Ovis aries: one gene and its partner. The protein of the gene in region 1 purifies or fractionates together with the protein of each later gene. This does not show direct contact. Links are inferred from orthologs where the notes say so. Each region holds a gene or a part of one and is shown on either strand. Other genes may lie near its edges.

Region 1 (4,329 bases):
CGACACACCCAGAGCAAGGCAGTAGGCAATGCAGGAGTGAGGGTGTACACCACTCAGATTGACAGGAAAAAATAGTAGCTCTAGTTTAAGTGTCCTGAGCACTTGTTACGTGCCAGGCCTCCTGTAACCCTCACTACAACCCTGAGAGGTGGGTACTCCTGTCATTCCTGTTTTATGGATGAGGAGCTTGCTGGAAATCCCTGGGCGAGAGAGCCGTACAACCTGACCCCCCAGCAGTCTGACTGCCAACATCACTCACCTTTAACCACCTTATACTGCCTCACAGGACTTGGGATAAAGACAGAAGAGGCCAAGTAGGCTAGGTAGGGGCACCCGCATGAGTCACCTGGCCTGGGGGGTCACCCCGTAGCAGGGCGTGGATGGGGAGAGCTGTTGGGTAGGGGAGCAGCTGGGAGGAAAGGAACAGTGGAGTCCCTCATTCTACAGACATTATTAAGCGCCTTCAGTGTGCCCGGAAAGTTAAACAAAACCAAACAAGCTGGGCTGTGAGGTATATGGTCAAAGAAGAGACTTCTCAGCACTCAAGATTTCAGAGGTGGAGGAACTGTAGGTGATGATATCCCAAGTCCTTAGAGGCCTACAAGGCCGGTGCGGTCTGGCCCCTGCCTATCTGTTTCTCTTCATCCTTTTCGCTCATGACCCTCCCTTTGGGTTACGCCTCCTCTGTCTTTTCTTATAGGGCCTTTTCAGCACTTAATTCACTTGACTCTTTACATTTCTTTTTGTGTTTGCTTGATCCCCTTCTGCCTCCCCTACTACTCTGTAAAATCTGGGAAGGGTAGGGGCTGGGTGTGTTTTTTCCAGCAACATATTGTTCATAAATATTAGTTGAATGGATAGATGAATGAATTTGGAAGTCTATGCCCAGAGATCTGTCTTTAACATTGGTTTTCCTTAAGGTTGGGGATATGAATTGTTTTGATTTCTCCCTTTCCTTTTCTATATATTGTAAGTCAAAAATATTAGCAAGTACTGCTTATAATAATAAAAAGAAAAAAGTTAAAAAGCGTATTTAATGTTCTAGAGAAAAGGCAATCTACAGCAAAGGAACAAGCCTGAACAGGGCCTAGCTGCCACCACTCCCCGCCCCGCCTTCCCACACACATACATTCCTCAGTCCTCACCTTGGGGTGCAGCTCTAGTACCAGCAGGGGCCCACAGGGCAGGGGGCCAGGGCTGCCCCTGCTGGCGGTGATAAAGCGGACAATGTGGTCATGCTGTAGGCCGGGCAGCTCGTACAACGCTCTCTCAGCTTGGAACTGGGCCACAGCCCTCAGGGGGAAGGCCTTGACGGCTACCAGCTTGCCTTGCAGCTGCCCAGCCCACACCACTGCGTGACCTCCTTCCCGTATGACCTGGTGGGGACACGGTGCTGGGTTTGGATCTCGCCGAGTTCGCAGGGGCCAGGCTTCCTCTCCAGCACACTCTCTGGGAGGGCCCAGAGGCCCCTTCCCCACCATCCCTGGGCACCTGGGAGAAGCGTAGCTCAGGCAGCTCCGGCAGCTCAGCACTCCAGTCCCTGCCTGAATCTGACTCTGGCACTGGCTCTGGCCCACCTCGCACGCGGCAGGCCTTCCGCTGTAGCAGGGCTGGAGCAGAGAACAGCCTTAGGGTCAGGGTACCCAGGCATGGAGACTGGGAAGTGATGGGAGTCAGGGGAGCCTGGAGAGGGGTCAGAGCGCTGGGGCAGTACCTTGGGGGGATCACTAGGGGGGGTGGGGCAGAGTAGTACCCAAGATGATGCTGCTCAGCAGTAGCAGCAGCAGAAGCAGTCCCAGCAGCAGCAGCGTTATCCAGGTGGACTCCCCTGGAGGTTAGAGCAAGAAAGACTGGGTGAGCCCTGCCCCGAACCTCGCTCTCTGCTTCTCTCACTCCTCAGAGAACTGCTTCTCTACCCACCCCCACCCTGGTCACAAGCCCCCTTATCTCCCAGTCACCAGGGCAACCAACTTCTCAAGGCCAGGAGGAGGGAAGCTTAGGACAGCGGTAGGGTGAGAATTGGCCCTGGTTCTAACCTCTCATCTAACCTGGGCCCCAGCCCCCACCTGGCTCCAGCACCTTGGGTGGCTACCTGGGATGGCCTGGGGGCCCTCCAAACCAGGTGTCCCAGGGCTCCCCAGAGGAGGCAGATGGCTATAATTGGCATTGCAGAAGTCAGCACCACAGGAGCAGGTGAAGAGAGTAGAGCTGGGGCGAGGATGGGCTCGGGGACTTGGGTCACAGCGGGGGGACTCACAGCCTGGCTCATCGCTGTCTCGGCATCCTGACACAGAGGGGTTGGGAGGAGAGAAAGGGAGGGACAGAGTGTGTATGGGTCTGGGAACACAGAGGGCATCCCTTCCATCTCTCACAGCCTTTTCTTTCCCTCCACACATTCCATTGCTCCTGCCCTCCTCAGCGGCCACCTCCACCCAGGATAAGCCTCTCTCCCACCCAGGTATGCCTGGCAGATGCTGCGCCATTCACCTTGCATCTCCACCTGTGCCTGGTCTTGGGTCAGGTTCCAGATTCCAAAGCAGCAGTGGCTGTAGAGGCAGTGGATAACCCTGAGGGGGCCCGGCCCTGCATCCAGCAGCTTCCCCAGGTTCTGTGTGCTTCCCCGCACTCCAGGGGCCTCGAAGAACACACAGGTCCGCCTGCTGGGGGGTGCTGCAGGCCAGGGTAAGGGGAGGGGAGGGGTCAAGATGGGAGTGAATGCAGGGGCAGACAGAAGCCGGGAGAGAGACAAAACATGTTTTGTATTGCAGAGCTAGCCTGGTAAAGCCACAGGAGGAAACAGGGTCAGCAGAGGCCTGGAACGTGACCCCCACCAAGGGAACACCTGGCTGTACCCTTCATCCTCACTCACCCACTCCACTCATCACTCATCAAGTGCTCCCTCCCATGATGGGTGGCTGGAAAGACCCTGCTTCTCCCTGTAGACACTTACCTTGCACAGCTGTAGGAAGCAGTGCCCAGAGCCCCAGGAGCCCCAGCATCATGCTGGAGGGGGCAGCAGGAGCCAGCACAGCTGTCCCTGGCCAGAGCTTCCTTCAGACACAGGGCACCGTGGGGCTTCTGATCCTTCAGCCCCCAACTCCACCCCCTCCCTCTTCCCAGTCTCTGTGGGGGAGACGGCTGCTGTGGGGGAGAGGATGGGTGTGGGGAAAAGGAGGGAGAGGGAGGAGCAGAGAACCAGTCTCCGTATCTTCCTCTGTTCAGCCACCTCCTCTTTTCTCTGTAAAGTGGGAGGAGGGGGCCTTAGAGTTCCCACTGAGAACAGAGTGATCCAAACCTCTGCCCTTTGCTGACCCTAGGAAAAAGTGCTGGCTGCTGTCAGCTCTTCCCAGGCTGGAAACCCAAGTGAGGTTAAGTGCTCAGAGCCATTCACCTGTTCCCAAAAGCCCTTCTAGCTCTTATTTTCTGGGCTCAGATCTGCAGTTCCCTGGGCACAGACAGGCTTCACAGCCTAGACTTCGAGTTGACCTCATTTTCTAAACTCAACGGTCAGGAAAGCAGCTGTGTAAAATGAGTTTTTTAAAAATCACATTGAAAATAGGTGTATGAAGGTAGATTTGATGTTATCAAAAAATTTTTTAAAAATCACATTGATCACCATTATAGAAAAGGTAACAAACTTTATTGAGCACCTACGTGCTAGGGCACGACTAGGGCTATGAATTTTACAATCATCACATCTAATTCTCCCATTGAGTTATTATTATCTTCACTTTATAGGTAAGAAAGCTGAATTTAGGTAACTTGACCAAGGTCACTCTGTCAGAAAATAGCAGTTAGGATTGGACCTAGTAAGTCTGATTCTAAAGCCCAAGCCCTGTTTTGTTTTGTTTTTTGCATTATGGCTCTGATGCCTGAAAGAAAATACAAAATTCAGCAGTAAAAAATATTTTCTTTCAACACAGTATTTGAATATGGACTGAGAAAATGTGTACCAATACCTGTCAGCTGACCACTATAAAAAGATAGTACAGTTCAAACTATCACCACCAGAGGCCAGCAAACACAGGAGAAACTCAGGACAGTGAGGGGTCAGAAAGGGCCTCCTGGAGTGACTCATACCCACAGTGCATCTCCCGTGTCTATGAAGCTGCAGGAACTGCAGACTGTGACGGGAGGGCTTAGAGTGTGTAGAGGGAACGTCAGCGTGCAGATGGAAGGAGAGCGGTGTAGAGCTTGTGCCGCAATCGAGAGACAGGAGTCCAGCTCCATCAGATTACTGCCCAGAAGAAACTAGAACTGGCTCTCATGAGAATTAGAGCCAGAGGAGACTGGTTCCCTGTTTTCCTAGCCTTCTGTTCTGCTGGTGCC
Region 2 (4,543 bases), on another chromosome or scaffold:
ACCGGGGTGTCCAGACCCTTTGTTTGCCGGGGTGTGTGTGTGTGTGTGTGTGTGTGTGTGTGTAAGTGTGAGATCGGGAGCCCCGCTGGGATGTAGGTCCGTGCGCGCGCGTACCCGGGCCTTGACGGCCGCTGTGATGCTGAACTGCCAGGGTTGGAGGAGGAGGAGGAAAGGGGGACTCCCCCGCCCCCGCCCGCCTACTCGCGGGTTTGAATGGACCGTGAGGGGGAGGGGCAGCGGCGGGCGGGCGCTTTTGTCCGGATGGCCCCACCCCTTCCCGGGGCCGGGGAATCCCCCACACCCCACCCATTTAAAGACCTTTACTCCTTCCTCTCCAGCGCCCCCCCAAACGCCTGCTTGGTTGGGGGGAGTCTGGAAGAGGCGCCCTTCACTCAAGTGGCTGAATCTCTACCCATTCTCCCTGTCCCCCGCCCTGCGCCCTTTAATCTGAGATAATCCTGGCCCTAGGCTGCAACGCAGCCTTTTATCCCGGTATCAAAGCGTGGGTAGGGATACATGAAAATGTGTGGCTGCGGTCGCCCAAGCTCAGTGTAATAGAGTTCTTAGAGTCTGGAACGAGGAAGGGGATCCCAGACGAAAGAGGGAGGGACTGCGAGGAGTCCCAGAGTACCTCGACGGAGAAAGACCCCCTGCGTGCGCACTTCCAAGCTCTTCCACCCCTCCCCCACCTGGCGCGGGGCACCCGCACTGGCCGCTAGTTAGACACTAGCGACACCCAGCGGATGCATGGGGAGCCGCCGTAGACAAGCTAATGAGGCCCGTTAAGTGCGGTCGGGTGATTCCAGAGGGGGCGTGTATGCGCGAATCCCCGCTAAGGAGTGGCAGAAGATGGGGGAGGCAAGAGGGGAAGCTGTGGTCCGAGCCAGGGAAACACCAGGTCTCAAGGCAGGGCCACATCGCCCCCATCTCGACTCCTCGAGGGCAGGGCCACAACCTTCCTTCACTTAGACCCTCCTAGAGCAGGGCCTTGTACCCCTTGTACTGGGAAGGTCCTTTCCCATCAGGCACCATCTCCAGGACAAAGTTAAGTCCCTCTTCACAAAAGACGGGAGCGAGGTCTTTTCGCCGAGGCCGAGCCCCAGTAGTGGGCTCAGGCTGACGTCACTGTGGCGTGGCTAAGAGGACAATCCTCTTTTTCAGTCTCGCCAACTGCCCCCTCTCCCAAGGCTGCCGTAAACGCCCACCGTGGGGTAGCGGGAGATGAGGGGGGCTCGAGGTTGGAGAACCCACCCGTAATTCCCCAGGAAGGGCCTAGTGGAGGCCGGAAGCCGGATGGGGTGAGGTCTCAGCGGACTCCCGAGAGCCGGAACACGTGCGCAGGGCTCTTTAAGAACTTGGTCGCCAGTGCCGCTGCTGAGGTTACTAAGGATGTGACGTCACGCGAGGGAGGGGTGTAAGCGTCAGGGCGGAAGCGGAAGGGGCGGGGCTCCGCGGGCTGTGTCTCAGTGCTGCCGCTGCCGCCGCCGCCGTCGCCGCCACCGCTACCAGAACCCTGGAGGGCTGGGCCCCGAGGCAAGATGGTGGACTACAGCGTGTGGGACCACATCGAGGTGTCTGATGATGAAGACGAGACGCACCCCAACATCGACACCGCTAGCCTCTTCCGCTGGCGGCACCAGGTAGAGCTCGCGCGCCCAGCCCCTTCCCCCACTCCCGGGACTCCGCTTCAGAGTTCTGACCCCCTGATACTGCCGGGGGGCCCCAGCCATTGATACCTGGGATTGCCCCCTACAGCCTGGACTTTCCGAATAGCCTAGGGTTCTTCGATTCAATTCCGGGGCCATAGAATTGCCGGGACCCCTGAGTTCCTTGCCCGCGATGCCGGCGCCGCCCCCCCCCCCCCACCCCCACCGCCCCGCGCTTCCAGTTTCTTCTTGAAACGCCAGGTTGACCTGTACGGTATATTTTTAGAATTTAGACTGCCAAGACAAGCTTTTGACGTGCCTCCCAATCCTGCTTGGGATCTTCCATTTACACCCAGATTTCTACCTCAGAATCTGGATCCTGAACCTAGTCGGGTACCCAGTTAAGATCTTGGCTGTTCCATGGCTCCTCCTAACCCCTGTGCTCAGTCGCTTCAGTCGTGTCCAACTCTGTGACCCCATGGACTGTAGCCCGCCAGGCTTCTCTGTCCGTGCGATTCTCCAGGCAAGAATACTGGAGTCGGTTGGCATTTCCTTTTCCATGGGATCTTCTCGATCCAGGGATCTTTTATGTCTCCTGCATTGGCAGGCAGGCTCTTTACCACTGGCCCCGTCTGGAAGTCCTCCAAAACCCTAGAGTTCCCAATAGTTTAAGTCTGTTCTGCGACCTGCTTTTCTGGATCCTTATGGTTCAGATCCAGAAGTCTTACTCCTCTGAATAAAATAATTCTGTCTTCCCCTGAGATTTCTGTTCCTGGCTTGGGACTCCAACCCACACCCAGGACCCCTCCCCTAGAACAAAGATTGGTACCCCCTCCCCCCAAGGCCCTCAGTCTCATCTAGGCCTGGAATTTTGAAACTTGGGTCCTGTTCAGAATGAACCACCACCTCCACCCTGATGGAGCCTCCAATTCCGGAGGCTCTTCTTTAGCCTCTGGTACTGTTAGACCCAATTTCCCATTACATCAGGAAACCCTACCCACGTGGCTTCCTGCCCAGCCAGAACCCCTGCCCCTCCTTGGTACCTCACACCCAGTCCCCGCCCACCCCCAAGACAGACTTCCAGTGGGAACCTTTGCCAGCTTCAGAATGCCACATTCAAACCCAAGTCCAGGACCCAAATCCATCCCATCTCCCTTCTGACCCAAACTTGGTGTGCTATTCTCAGACATCCACAATGACCCTGCTGTTACAAGGAACCCACCCATCCTGATTCCAGATTCACCGCCCCTTCTTTTATCTATTTTCCCCCAAATACAGACCCCCAGAATCCCAAGTCTGTATGTTCTTTCGACAACCTGCAACCCCCCCCCCCACCCCCGCAGCCGCTCAGCTGTGCTCACAGACCAACAGAATGGCTCTCCTGAGACCTTGTGTGCTAACTTCTTGCTCCACCAACTCAGAGCTCCTACACCCACATTCCAGGGGCTGCTTTGCTCTCACACTTATGGAATATACCTTCTAGAACTTTCCAGTTAGGAAAACCTCATTCTGTCTTCCCATGTATCAGCTTGCAGTTGTTTATCCAGAAACACCTAGAAGCGCCCTTCCTCATCCTGCTGAGACACAGTATCCGTGCCTACATCTAGTCCCAGTTCTGGGTCCAACCCATTACTTAAAGCAGCAGCCTCCTGGCTAGGGCTTCCCTGGTGGCTCAGATGGTAAAGAATCTGCCTGCGGTGCAGGAGACCCAGCTTCAATCCCTGGGTGGGGAATATCTCCTGGAGTAGGGAATAGTGACCACTCCAGTATTCTTGCCTGGAGGGAGAATCCCATGGACAGAGAAGCCTGGTGGACTACAGTCCATGGGGTTGCAAAGAGTCGGATACGATTAAGCGACTAACCCTTTCACCTGGCTAGTGTACCTGGTGGGAAAGCCACTGGAGTGGAAAAAGAAAGTTCTAGTATTTCTCTCTTGCCATATGTGACATTTTATGATGAAATATTGAAGCTCTCCGCAAAGCTTTAAAGCTCATTCTCGGGAACACCTATTCTTGTCACGAAGTTGATCTCTATCACCAGGTTTGGTCCTGCTGGTTTGGGAGGCCATGCCCGCTCTCATACAGCATCCTCCTCTCACCACGCCCTACTCCCTCCTGGCGCAAAACCTTTCCCTGTCCAACCGCTGAGGACCCAGGGCTGTCGTGGAGATGAGTGGAGGCAGGGAGCCTGGTGTCTCCAGCACGAGGTTCAGCTGCCAGTGACTGGCAGCCTGGGCTCCAGCCCTGCCACAGGACCATCACTGCTTTGGGGGAGCGAGCCCTCCGCCTCCATGAGACTGTCGTGAAAATGAAATGAGATTAGATCTTGAAAGAACTTGGCTCGGCGCCTGGGAGGAAAGAGTAAGCAATACCAAGAGTGGAAGAGGGGATTAGCCAAAAGGTAGCCTGGTACCCTTGTGAGCGCAGGCCTGCCCGACTGGGTTCATATCCTGCTCCTTCTGCATATCACTGACTTGCTGTGATCCAGTGAGGGTTTTTTTTTTTTTTTTTTTTTAATTAATTTGACCGCACAGGGTCTTAGTTATAGTGTGCTGGATCTTTAGTTGCAGCATGTGGAATCTATTAATAGTTCCCCGACCGGAGATCGAACTGGGGCCCCTTGCATTGAGAGCACAGAGTCTTAGCCACTGAACCACCAGGGAAGTCCCCGGAAGTGAGTTTTGATCGCTGTGTGCCTCAGTTTCCCCAGTTGGCAGTCTTAATAGTACCCACCCAATAGGCTTGTGAGAGCCACCTTATGAATTTAACATGTGTACTGCTTGCAAGACAACACTGGAACATAATAAGCTTTGTGGAAACTTTAGCTCCTGTCATCATCATTGCTTGGATAATTCATGCTCATGGTAAAAAATAAAAACTAATCCCAAGGCTCCAGAA

The links.
Region 2: the proteins of AMHR2 (region 1) and CDC37 purify together in Homo sapiens (co-immunoprecipitation; 3 studies listed by BioGRID and IntAct, with this or other methods). This does not show direct contact. The link is inferred for Ovis aries from reciprocal best matches to the Homo sapiens genes AMHR2 and CDC37.

Annotation. Positions count from the first base shown.
Region 1 is NC_056056.1:133,080,856-133,085,184, forward strand, and holds the start of AMHR2 (anti-Muellerian hormone type-2 receptor), read right to left. Parts: upstream 3,081-4,329; 5' UTR 3,003-3,080; coding exon 2,951-3,002; intron 2,671-2,950; coding exon 2,488-2,670; intron 2,285-2,487; coding exon 2,093-2,284; intron 1,829-2,092; coding exon 1,754-1,828; intron 1,611-1,753; coding exon 1,492-1,610; intron 1,377-1,491; coding exon 1,146-1,376; intron 1-1,145. UniProt on the Homo sapiens protein: On ligand binding, forms a receptor complex consisting of two type II and two type I transmembrane serine/threonine kinases.
Region 2 is NC_056058.1:12,789,411-12,793,953, reverse strand, and holds the start of CDC37 (hsp90 co-chaperone Cdc37), read left to right. Parts: upstream 1-1,443; 5' UTR 1,444-1,538; coding exon 1,539-1,640; intron 1,641-4,543. UniProt on the Homo sapiens protein: Co-chaperone that binds to numerous kinases and promotes their interaction with the Hsp90 complex, resulting in stabilization and promotion of their activity. Inhibits HSP90AA1 ATPase activity.